3 linked regions of the Saccharomyces cerevisiae S288C genome follow. Changing the gene in region 1 together with any one later gene gives a genetic interaction. Each region holds a gene or a part of one and is shown on either strand. Other genes may lie near its edges. The genes, in order: SNF11, SPS2 and BAT1.

Region 1 (2,962 bases):
CATGGGGAGGCCATTGGAACAAGCAGATGGGTAAGGACCCCCGCTATATTTTGTAATCCTAGGGCAAAACTAAAGCATTTTAAAGTCCCCGGTGGTTGGAAGACGTATAAGTATACAGCTGTTAAAATTGGAGCTGTCAAGTGCAGGATGACATAGGAGAACCAAGCCAGTAAATCCTTGGTCTTAGTAAAGTTTGCATCCGACTGGTAAGCAAAGAAATGATCAATGTTGAGTATAACAAATGTAAACAGGGGCAAGGCAAACGGTATGAAAATTGTCCGAAATCTCTTTTGGATCGGCCGCTGCTTGCGCTTGCAGGGGTAATGAAAAATATTTGCGAACCACTCTAACAGATTATAGTTAACGTGCTTAATGTAATAGATGTAGTACCAAATGGCAAAGGGAATACATATCAGAAATACTAAGAGAAATGCAGAAGATGATATGAATGACCAGAAAAATAGCTTCGAAGTATTATCGGGCAATTGTACAGTAAGTTCATGCCAATAGTCCCCAAAGAGGAATTGATCAGCAAAAAAAGCAAACTTGCTATGAATGTCAGGTCTGAGCCTTATGGGTATCAGACCAGCGCGCTTGAATATAGACAGCCAAATAAACACTGGCGCAAAATTAAGCATGAAGTTGAACGGCAGGCTTATTAGATTACGTTGGTTCAAACTTGCATTATACATGTTTTTGACGAAACTCGCCAAAGAAAATATGACATTCATGCTTTCTTAGACGTTGAAAGACTTTAGGTGATTCTTAGCAGAAATGATAACGTCCAACCGGTGAAATAAAGGAACAGTTAGGGTGGCAATGAAAAAGTAGCGATGCTTATGAAAACACTATGCCTTAGGTTTCCTTTTTTTATTTTTATTTGACAAGTAGCGATTACTCTTCTATTGTTCCTGGTTTTTGATGCTCGAATGTATTATATAAAAATGTTGTGGCCGGAGGTCTGCATTTCTAGGCATTTTTCCTTTTTCTTATTTTTTTTACTTTCCTACTAACTTTGCACTTCGTAAGAGAATTTACACCAGAACTCTCGATTGAGGCGAAGAAGGCGGAGAAAAAAGCCGGTAAAAAAAAAAAGCGGAATCAATCAGCACAATCAGAGGCGTCAAGAAGCGGCGCGGGGATAATGCTTTTTTCCCGTGGCGTTCACATTTTTGTTCCGCGGAAAGCACGTGAGCGTAATCCACTCGGGAAGGGCGCAGCTGCCGTGGCCAACTGAAGTAATCTTTAGCCGTTTATCGCCGCGCAAAACGGCAATTGCACTTGAGACCCCAACGGCGCTGTGCAGCAGGGTATTCTACTACGTGTTAGCTTGCCTTGCATTTCCCCATGCGTCTCGAATAGGAATTATTCAAGATGGATTATTGGCATTTACGAGTAACCAAGGATAACCCCGCTGTGCGGTGAAACCACCCTCTTTTCACGTTTCTTCAAGGCCAGTGCAAACGCGAATAAACATATCTACGCTATATATAGATATGACGTTTCTCAAGCCAACAGAAGTAGATAAAGCAGCCAGGAGGGTAGAGAGTGTTCAAATTATAGCAAGCCTTCTTCTACCTGTTTTTTTTTGATGATTGTTTTGCCGGGTAACAATCGACTTTCGGGCAAATTTTTTTTCCTTTTTTCTCCTAACAGTATATACGGAGTGGAGAACAGACTTCCCATAAAAGCATATTACGTGGGGTCGTAGTAAGATTGCCGTTTATGATACCCTCTATTCAGGGCTCAGAGCGCATCACGATCGGGAGTGTAAATTCAATGTGCATATAAGCAAAACACACAGATTTCCTTTTTTCCCAGAAAAATGAGCAGTGAAATTGCCTACTCGAATACGAACACCAACACTGAAAACGAGAACCGCAATACTGGCGCTGGCGTAGATGTAAATACAAATGCAAATGCAAATGCAAATGCAACTGCAAATGCAACTGCAAATGCAACTGCAAATGCAACTGCAGAGCTGAACCTCCCCACGGTCGATGAGCAAAGACAGTATAAGGTACAACTGCTATTGCATATCAACAGCATATTACTTGCTAGAGTTATTCAGATGAATAATAGTTTACAAAACAATCTACAGAACAATATAAATAATAGCAATAACAATAACATCATCAGGATACAGCAACTTATATCTCAGTTCCTTAAAAGGGTTCATGCCAATCTTCAATGCATATCTCAGATAAACCAAGGAGTGCCCTCAGCGAAACCACTGATCCTCACGCCTCCTCAGCTAGCCAACCAGCAGCAACCTCCACAGGATATTCTTTCTAAACTCTATCTTCTCTTGGCAAGAGTGTTCGAGATATGGTAGAATAACTTTGTTTCTCTTCCCTTTTTTATTTTGTTTTTTTTTTTTTACTTTTGCAATTTTAATTTTGCATTCAGCTACAGGTGTGATTGCATACCCGCAGAGCAAGTACAGGAAGCATAAGAAAAATAGAATACGAAAAGCAGAAAAAGAAAGGCAAATAACAATCACTCAAGTACTACAACTGCATGAATTTATCGTATGTAATGTACCCAACGTAAATAATAATATTAGTATTTTAAAATCTATGACATCAGATGTAGTTATCTTACTGCCAGCCCTATTAATACTACTTTCTTATTATCTTCTTCGAGAGCCACCTTCGTCATCGTCGCAGTAAGCATTGTCATCTTCATCATGCACGTCGGTAACGGAAGCCTAATCTCAATATCTACTAGTTTACTCTACGCCATTTGGAGCGTAGCCCCTTCTCCTTTTGACTCTCTGACTTTTCCCTCCCCTCCTTCTCTTCTGGCCTAGCCTAACCTAGTCTAGCCTCGCTGGACCCCCTCCTTCCAACGGTCAACCCCTTCCTTTCTATTCTCTTCTCGTTCTCTACGTAAGGAACTTGTAAAAGAAAAAATTTGGTGCCATACAGGGAAATCGGCAGTGAGACGGAGCGGCCGAGGG
Region 2 (4,110 bases), 890 kb from region 1:
TTTGTTTATTATCTTGGTTCCAACTGCTTCATTTAATATTTCCTATCCAAAAAAAGCCAGCTAATTCTCTTCTTTTTTTTTCTTATTTTGCCATTTTCAATATTATCGATTTAGTGAACACCTGGCTAGTCAGTTGTCTTAGCAAACATTTCTCAAAAGAAAGCAAACCAGCATTTGCTTTTTAAATTTAGTTTTTTTACTAGCTAATTCATTTACTAAACAACAAAAGAAAATAGCACAAAATGGAAAGCAAAGAAATATCAATTAGGTCAAGAACCCCTCCATCGAAGCTATATTCCATCCAATCATGTATTGGCAGAGGTAACTTTGGTGATGTGTATAAAGCAGTGGATAGAGTTACGCAAGAAATTGTGGCAATTAAGGTGGTCAACCTGGAGCATTCCGACGAAGACATTGAACTGTTAGCACAGGAAATTTTTTTTCTGGCGGAATTGAAATCTCCTCTTATTACAAACTATATTGCAACAATGTTAGAAGATGTCTCTATGTGGATTGTCATGGAATATTGCGGCGGTGGATCATGTTCAGATTTACTGAAGCGAAGTTACGTCAACGGTTTGCCTGAAGAAAAAGTTTCCTTCATTATTCATGAAGTCACCTTGGGTTTGAAATACCTGCATGAGCAAAGGAAAATTCATCGTGATATCAAAGCAGCTAATATTTTACTAAATGAAGAAGGTATGGTTAAGTTGGGTGATTTCGGAGTAAGTGGCCACATTCGTTCCACTTTGAAAAGGGACACTTTTGTAGGAACGCCGTATTGGATGGCTCCGGAAGTTGTTTGCTGCGAAGTTGATGGGTATAATGAGAAAGCAGATATATGGTCCTTGGGTATCACCACCTATGAGTTACTCAAGGGCTTACCCCCATTATCTAAATATGATCCTATGAAAGTTATGACTAACTTACCAAAAAGGAAGCCTCCAAAATTACAAGGTCCCTTTTCGGATGCAGCAAAGGATTTCGTAGCTGGTTGTCTTGTTAAAACACCTGCTGATCGGCCATCGGCATATAACTTGTTATCATTTGAATTTGTTAAGAATATCACCATAACGAACTTGAAAAGTGATGTTGATCTAATTAAACAGAAAAAGGTTCAGGAGAGATATACAAAAGTTCCCAAATACCCTCTTCAAAATCGCTTGTATAAAAACAGCAACACAGTGAGGGGAAAGGAATTTTGGAATTTTGAATCGACAAGACTAAGCACAACACAAATTTCCAAAGAGGAATTATCTCCCATTACACAAGACTCTCCAACATCATCTTTAAATATGGAAAGTCCTTATTTACTTCATGGGCAAACTGTAACGCCGATAACCAACCCAAGTTCTTCATCATTTAGAAAATGTACGCAACCAGTTTTCGAGCTTGATTCAGGAATGGATATAGATTCAGGCTGCCCAAATGCTCAAGCAGAGACCGAAATAGTTCCTCTCTCTAATCATAATAAGAAGCATAAAAAGAACGATATTCAGGCGTTGAAGATAGAAAAGTTTGACTACTTGAAAAACATTGTATCTCATATTCTCAACAGAATGTATGATCGTGCGCGCGACGATGAAACAAGAAAATACGTAAATGAAATGTTAAAGCAATTCATTAAAACTGAGGCAAACGTTCCTGGATTTAATGAGGTTTTTATAGAAGAGATCTCACTAAGAATTGAAGCAATAAAGAAAGGATTCGTTTAAAAAAATAGATATATATATATAATGTGTGTATATGCATGAGTTTTTGTTTTCCATTCTCTTTCATCTTCAATAAATGAAGGATGGATATATTGAATTATATAACAAACAGTAAAAAGTCATGTGTTTTTGATTATTTACCTGCTTATTTCTCCCTTTTTTTTTCGATTCTTTTTTTCTGATCGAGCGTTTATGTCTTTACTGTCCCGTCATTGATGCGTCTCAAAAAAAATATTTTGTGGCATTACTTAGACTATAAAAGAAAATGCCAATTTGGAAAACACAAACATTCTTCACTAGTATTTCTGTTATTCAAATAGTCAATAAAGAAACCAAAGTTTCTACAAAAAAAGAAAAGGATAGCATGTTGAACCAGTTGAACACAATCTTAAGATTTTTATTCTTGTTTCTGCAGTTAATTAAATCATCCGCTGCAGTTGAACCTAATGGTGGACCGAATATTCTAGATCACAACATTATGTTGGTTAACACTAATGCAACGATCCCTAAAAAGGAACAAACTGATTTTGAGGTGATTTCTCCAACAAAACAAACACAAGTAGATGAAGACTGTAAAAAAGGCTTGTATCATATTGAGAATGCTGGAAATTTGATTGAACTGCAAGCTAAATGTTGGAAAGTGGTAGGAAACATTGAAATATCAAGTAACTACAGCGGATCTCTTATTGATCTAGGGTTAATAAGAGAGATAGAGGGAGATCTTATTATCAAGAATAACAAACACATTTTTAGAATCCAGGGTTATAATTTAGAGTCTTTGGGAAAGTTGGAATTGGATAGCCTAACTTCCTTTGTATCATTAGACTTTCCCGCTTTAAAAGAAGTTGAAACCGTTGATTGGAGAGTTTTGCCTATTCTAAGTAGTGTTGTCATTAACGGAAATATTAAAAAGATCAAAAATATTATCATATCTGATACTGCATTAACCTCCATCGATTACTTCAATAACGTCAAGAAAGTGGATATTTTCAATATCAACAATAACAGGTTTTTAGAAAATTTATTCGCAAGTTTAGAAAGTGTTACTAAACAACTAACCGTCCACTCTAATGCCAAAGAGCTGGAACTTGATTTGAGCAACTTACACACGGTTGAAAATATGACCATTAAGGACGTTTCAGAAATTAAACTAGCTAAACTTTCCTCTGTGAACAGTTCTCTAGAGTTCATCGAGAATCAATTTTCAAGCTTGGAACTACCACTTTTGGCAAAAGTTCAAGGAACGTTGGGGTTAATAGATAATAAAAATCTGAAAAAGCTAAACTTTTCGAATGCCACCGATATTCAAGGGGGTCTAATGATTGCTAACAATACAGAGCTTGCCAAAATTGATTTCTTCCCCAAGTTGAGGCAAATTGGCGGTGCAATATATTTTGAAGGTAGCTTTGATAAAATTGACCTCCCAGAGCTAAAGTTAGTAAAAGGTAGCGCTTATATCAAAAGTTCATCTGAGGAATTAAACTGTGAAGAATTTACATCACCAAAAGCCGGTCGTTCGATCATAAGAGGCGGTAAAATCGAATGCACATCTGGTATGAAAAGTAAAATGCTGAATGTTGATGAAGAGGGGAATGTACTAGGAAAGCAGGAAACTGACAATGATAATGGAAAGAAAGAAAAAGGAAAAAATGGTGCAAAAAGTCAAGGAAGTTCAAAGAAGATGGAAAACAGTGCTCCGAAGAACATTTTTATTGATGCTTTCAAAATGTCAGTTTATGCAGTTTTCACGGTATTGTTCTCGATAATTTTTTAGGTTAGAAGATTAACTTAAATACTAGCCATTTTATTTAGTTCTTATGAGATATAAATTTGCAGTAGAGATGTAGTGTTCTGATTATCTTCACCTGGAGCATAGCGTAGCCCACTTAGCATCAGCTTTTTATGTTATTTCAGGCATTACCAAAACTGGTTAAACTATTGAAACTGTTACCCTCCTTTTAATTTTGACAGTTTTTGAATAATTATTATGGTAGATCATCTTAACAAAATGAGCTCATTAGGTAGATGATTTAATTGAAAAATAGTGTTTTGATACGGTTCTTCCTTAGGGTTAAAACCACTCACATTTTGCTTACTCACCATTAAAACATCTTTCCCAGTTGTATTTTATATTTCTTTCGGTTTGCTGAACATCAGGGAAAAAAATGGATATAAACTCAAATGCCTCAGTAAGCCCCAGACCAGATGGTTTACCGATGACTGCTGGATATAATTCTGCTTCTGGAAAGGTGCGAAATAGTATCAGATCCATAATAAACCACCCAGAGGATAGTGCAAGAGCCAAAGAGCGCAGTGAAACGAACAGTCCTAAGAATAATGGCAACAAAAAACCTAGAAAGAAAAGAAAAACATTTAGTTGTGATACTTGCAGGAGAGT
Region 3 (3,770 bases), on another chromosome or scaffold:
GCCGTTTGTTTATGTTTATATACGTTCCCTTGGGGCCGCTAATTAGAATGCTAAATATAGATCGTGGAAAACTTTCACTACAAAGCTTCTCGTTGTTGTGTTGGCTGAACATATACTAATGAACTGTTTAAATCAGGATTATGGACCGGTGAGGGAACATAATCATCTCTTCATGCCTGAACCTGTATGCCACGATGATGGAAGGCATACCATTATTCATACTGTACTTGCACCTCTTCTGAACTACGCTAGAATTTATTCTTCAGAAAATACCAGGGATATCCTTATAGATTTTTTTTTTTTGGCATAATCAACTCTCTTGGGTATCTTGCCGCATTCATTTTACATGTAAAGTCCAGCGAGATACCTTGGCAACTAAATTACAAGCAGTCTCTATGAAATTCAATAATGTGCCAAGTTGTTAGGTCAACAATTTCAAAAAGCGTAAGAAGCCGCACAATGGCTTGCATAAGCTATAATAATAATAGTAATCCAATATTTCTTATAATAAATAAACTCAACAGGAATTGTAAAAAAGTATGTATCTATGTGAATAAAGTGAGAGAAAAACAGATCCTCTGAGAGGAATTCTCGTTTTTTTTTTTTGGGGGGGGAGGGGATGTTTACCTTCATTATCATTAGTTCAAGTCGGCAACAGTTTTTGACCAGTTACCATAATTGACTCTACCGTATTGGATATCAGCAATCCATTGAGCAACTTGCTTGGTCAATGCACCACATTGTTCACCAGGCAATAGTGGAACATGAATATCTTCGTTGTTCCAGCCAATTTCCTTGATAGGTGAAACGACAGCAGCAGTACCAGAACCGAAGGCTTCTAATAGTTCACCTTGTTTTGCTCTAGTGGCGACTTCAGTAATAGTGTAATAACGCTCGTTGATGTCCCATTCTTGAGGATCTAGTTTGTCACGAGCCAATGTTAAAACAGAGTCTCTGGTAACACCTTCTAAAATGGTACCATCTAATGGAGCGGTAACCAATTCCTTCTTGCCAGTGACTTTGTTGAGGAAAACGAAGAACACGTTCATAGTACCAACCTCAGTGATGTTCTTTTCTGGGCCGAACAACCATAGATTTTGTTGGTACCCTCTTTTGGCAGCTTGTAGTTGAGGTAAGATGCATGGGGCATAGTTAGCACCCAATTTTTTGTCGCCAACACCACCTGGCCAAGCTCTTGTAGCATAGTCTGTTGCTTCAAGACGTACGGCTTTGAAACCAGTCTTATAATAAGGACCGACTGGAGAAGTAATAACATAAAGAAGAGCCTCGGAGGGAGTGCCAACACCTAAACCCTTGGATGTACCAATCATTGTTGGTCTGATGTATAATGAGTAACCATTACCTTGAGGAACCAAGTGTTTATCTTGTTCGATCAATTTCCCGGTAAGTTTGATCAATTCTTCAGATTCGAAAGTTGGCAAACAAATTCTAGCGGCAGACTTGTTCATACGGGCCATGTTCTTATCCGGACGGAACATGGTGATAGTATTTTGAGGAGTTCTGTAGGCTTTCAAACCTTCAAATAATTCAAATGCATAATGGAATACACAAGCAGATGGGTCAAGAGAAAGATTACCGTAAGGCTTGATGTGTGGAGTGCCCCACCCTTCTTTGGCTGACCAAGGAATGGTCAACATATGATCGGTGAATGTCTGGCCGAACACTAATTCTTCATTTGGTCTTGGCTTGGATGGATTTGGGTTTCTAGTAATTTTTAGTTTGGATGCATCTAATGGGGCACCAGTAGCGAGTGTTCTGATGGAGAATTTCCCCAACTTCAAGGAATGTCTCTGCAACATGTTTTAGTATGCTAAGGTTCTAGCTGATTTTGCGTTTATAGGGTGATTTATTCTAACGAAAACATGTAGTTGTTACCACTAGCTCTCTTTATAGTGCCATTTTTTTCAGATGCTTTTTTTTTTTCAAAGCTTAAAGGCCGGTACCGGCAAACACAATAGAATTTTGAGTCATAAGAAGGCAATATGGATCGGATGGGCCATTAAACAAAAAGAGAGCCAATTCATCAGTAATAATAGCGACAGCCGGTATGAAATCTGCACAAAGTATCAACCGCCTGGCCTCTATCAGTAAGATCATTCAATCAACCGTACACGCGGTACTTATCCAGCGTTAACATTTACGCTTTACAGTTCAGCTAAAAAAGAACACATTATCTAGTTAATGCCTGGGAAGGCCCTGGCAAGATACACTTTATCTAAATTATCTACTGCTCGCAAGGCAATGCTATCAATTTGAGAAGTGCAGAAGGAAATGCCATCAAGCTTGTGGTGCGCATTTCACTTTTAAGGATAATAACAGAATTTAATGGCTTGATATGGACGGGCGGTTTGCGAGCCTTACTATTGATAGGAGTATTCGTCAAGTCCAGGGCGCCAATGTGACTTATCGCGCTGTGGGTGGGTAATTCTACCTCAGTTTGCTTCTCGAGGAGTTTGTAGCATAAATCTCGTTAGAATAGTCAAACATACGGTATCTTTCTTTCTCTTGAAAAATTAGTACAGTCTACAAGTTTTCCTCATTGGCTTTCAGACGAGCATTTGATTGTCAAGTACTTTCCGGACCACCTGCGATAGTTTCCCTTGTCTACTTGAGCAGATATGCTCTTACTGACTAGCAAGAATGATAACAAATTTTATCAGTAAACCCTTTCCTTGCCGTAATTTTTTTTATTTTAGCTTCGTAATTTTTTTTTTCGTATTATTTTTCTTTTTCTTTTTCTTTCTTGATATCATAATCATGGGGAACTTCTCCATATAACAATAGAAGCTAAATAGGTAAATAACCAAGCGTGCACTGATACAAAATAACGAAAAGTGGCACAAAAATGACATTGACTATCAAAATAGGAACCTTAAACGATAGCGATCAATCTGCAGTGCATAATGGTACAGAAAATGGCTCTGATTTTCGAAAGATAACTCCCACAGAGGAAGAGATCTGTGATGACGTAGTTTTGTTATGGAAGGAAGAGCCCGGAACTGAAGACGCTACGATTCAGCATCTTTATGACAGGATTACGGAAAGAAATCAATCGTGGAAATTGAGTGCTTCTCGTTTTCGAAAAATTCTAAATGAGCACCATCTTTATGACACAGATCTAGAGACCGTTTCTCTATATAAAGATAAAATACATTTTCCAAAAGCCCTAGATTCTGATGCTAAGGTCGAAGTGAAATTTATTGATGACGAACATGGAAGGGGCCTTTTCGCTAAAAGAGATTTTTCCAAGGGCCAAATCATCCTGAAAGAAAATAAACCTATCGTATATATTCCACCACTGGACAAGCTTTTTTTAATATCTAATGGAAAGGCATGTGCTCGATGTGGTAAGGCGCTATATGATTTGACCCAGCACAAAATTATGGTCCATTATTTGGATTGTGAAGTTTGCAAAGCTATTTGGTGCAGTGAAAAATGTAAAAAAGCACATGCGTCGTTACATGAGCTTTTATACCACTCATGGAGATCGAATAGAATAGACATTCTTCATGCTGGTAATTGGAAAAGATTTGTTAACTACTGTGAGAAATATTGTTTTACCGCTGCCTTTTCAGTTGGTCTTATATATGGATCCATGCTTTTGGATACTACAGGAGAGGTCAAAGAGCAATGGCAAAAATTGGCAAGCATCTCACAAAGGGAAAGAATTAAATTAAGAGACGCCAGCGGTATCGGCAGTACGTTTAGTTTACTGAATGGTACAACTGTACATACTGAAGAGGAATCTG

Evidence for each region.
Region 2: mutations in SNF11 (region 1) and SPS2 together harm fitness more than expected from each alone (negative genetic interaction), as found in Saccharomyces cerevisiae (2 studies listed by BioGRID).
Region 3: mutations in SNF11 (region 1) and BAT1 together harm fitness more than expected from each alone (negative genetic interaction), as found in Saccharomyces cerevisiae (2 studies listed by BioGRID).

The regions. Positions count from the first base shown.
Region 1 is NC_001136.10:590,614-593,575, forward strand, and holds SNF11 (Snf11p), read left to right. Parts: upstream 1-1,825; coding exon 1,826-2,335; downstream 2,336-2,962. Other genes in the region: IPT1 (inositolphosphotransferase), read right to left, coding at 1-731. UniProt on the Saccharomyces cerevisiae protein: Involved in transcriptional activation. Component of the SWI/SNF complex, an ATP-dependent chromatin remodeling complex, which is required for the positive and negative regulation of gene expression of a large number of genes.
Region 2 is NC_001136.10:1,483,171-1,487,280, reverse strand, and holds SPS2 (Sps2p), read left to right. Parts: upstream 1-1,977; coding exon 1,978-3,486; downstream 3,487-4,110. Other genes in the region: putative serine/threonine protein kinase SPS1, read left to right, coding at 243-1,715; URC2 (Urc2p), read left to right, coding at 3,878-4,110. UniProt on the Saccharomyces cerevisiae protein: Involved in middle stages of meiosis. Redundant with SPS22 for the organization of the beta-glucan layer of the spore wall.
Region 3 is NC_001140.6:515,582-519,351, reverse strand, and holds BAT1 (branched-chain-amino-acid transaminase BAT1), read right to left. Parts: upstream 1,821-3,770; coding exon 639-1,820; downstream 1-638. Other genes in the region: SET5 (S-adenosylmethionine-dependent methyltransferase), read left to right, coding at 2,867-3,770. UniProt on the Saccharomyces cerevisiae protein: Mitochondrial isozyme of branched-chain-amino-acid aminotransferase, involved in the biosynthesis of the branched chain amino acids (BCAAs) leucine, isoleucine, and valine.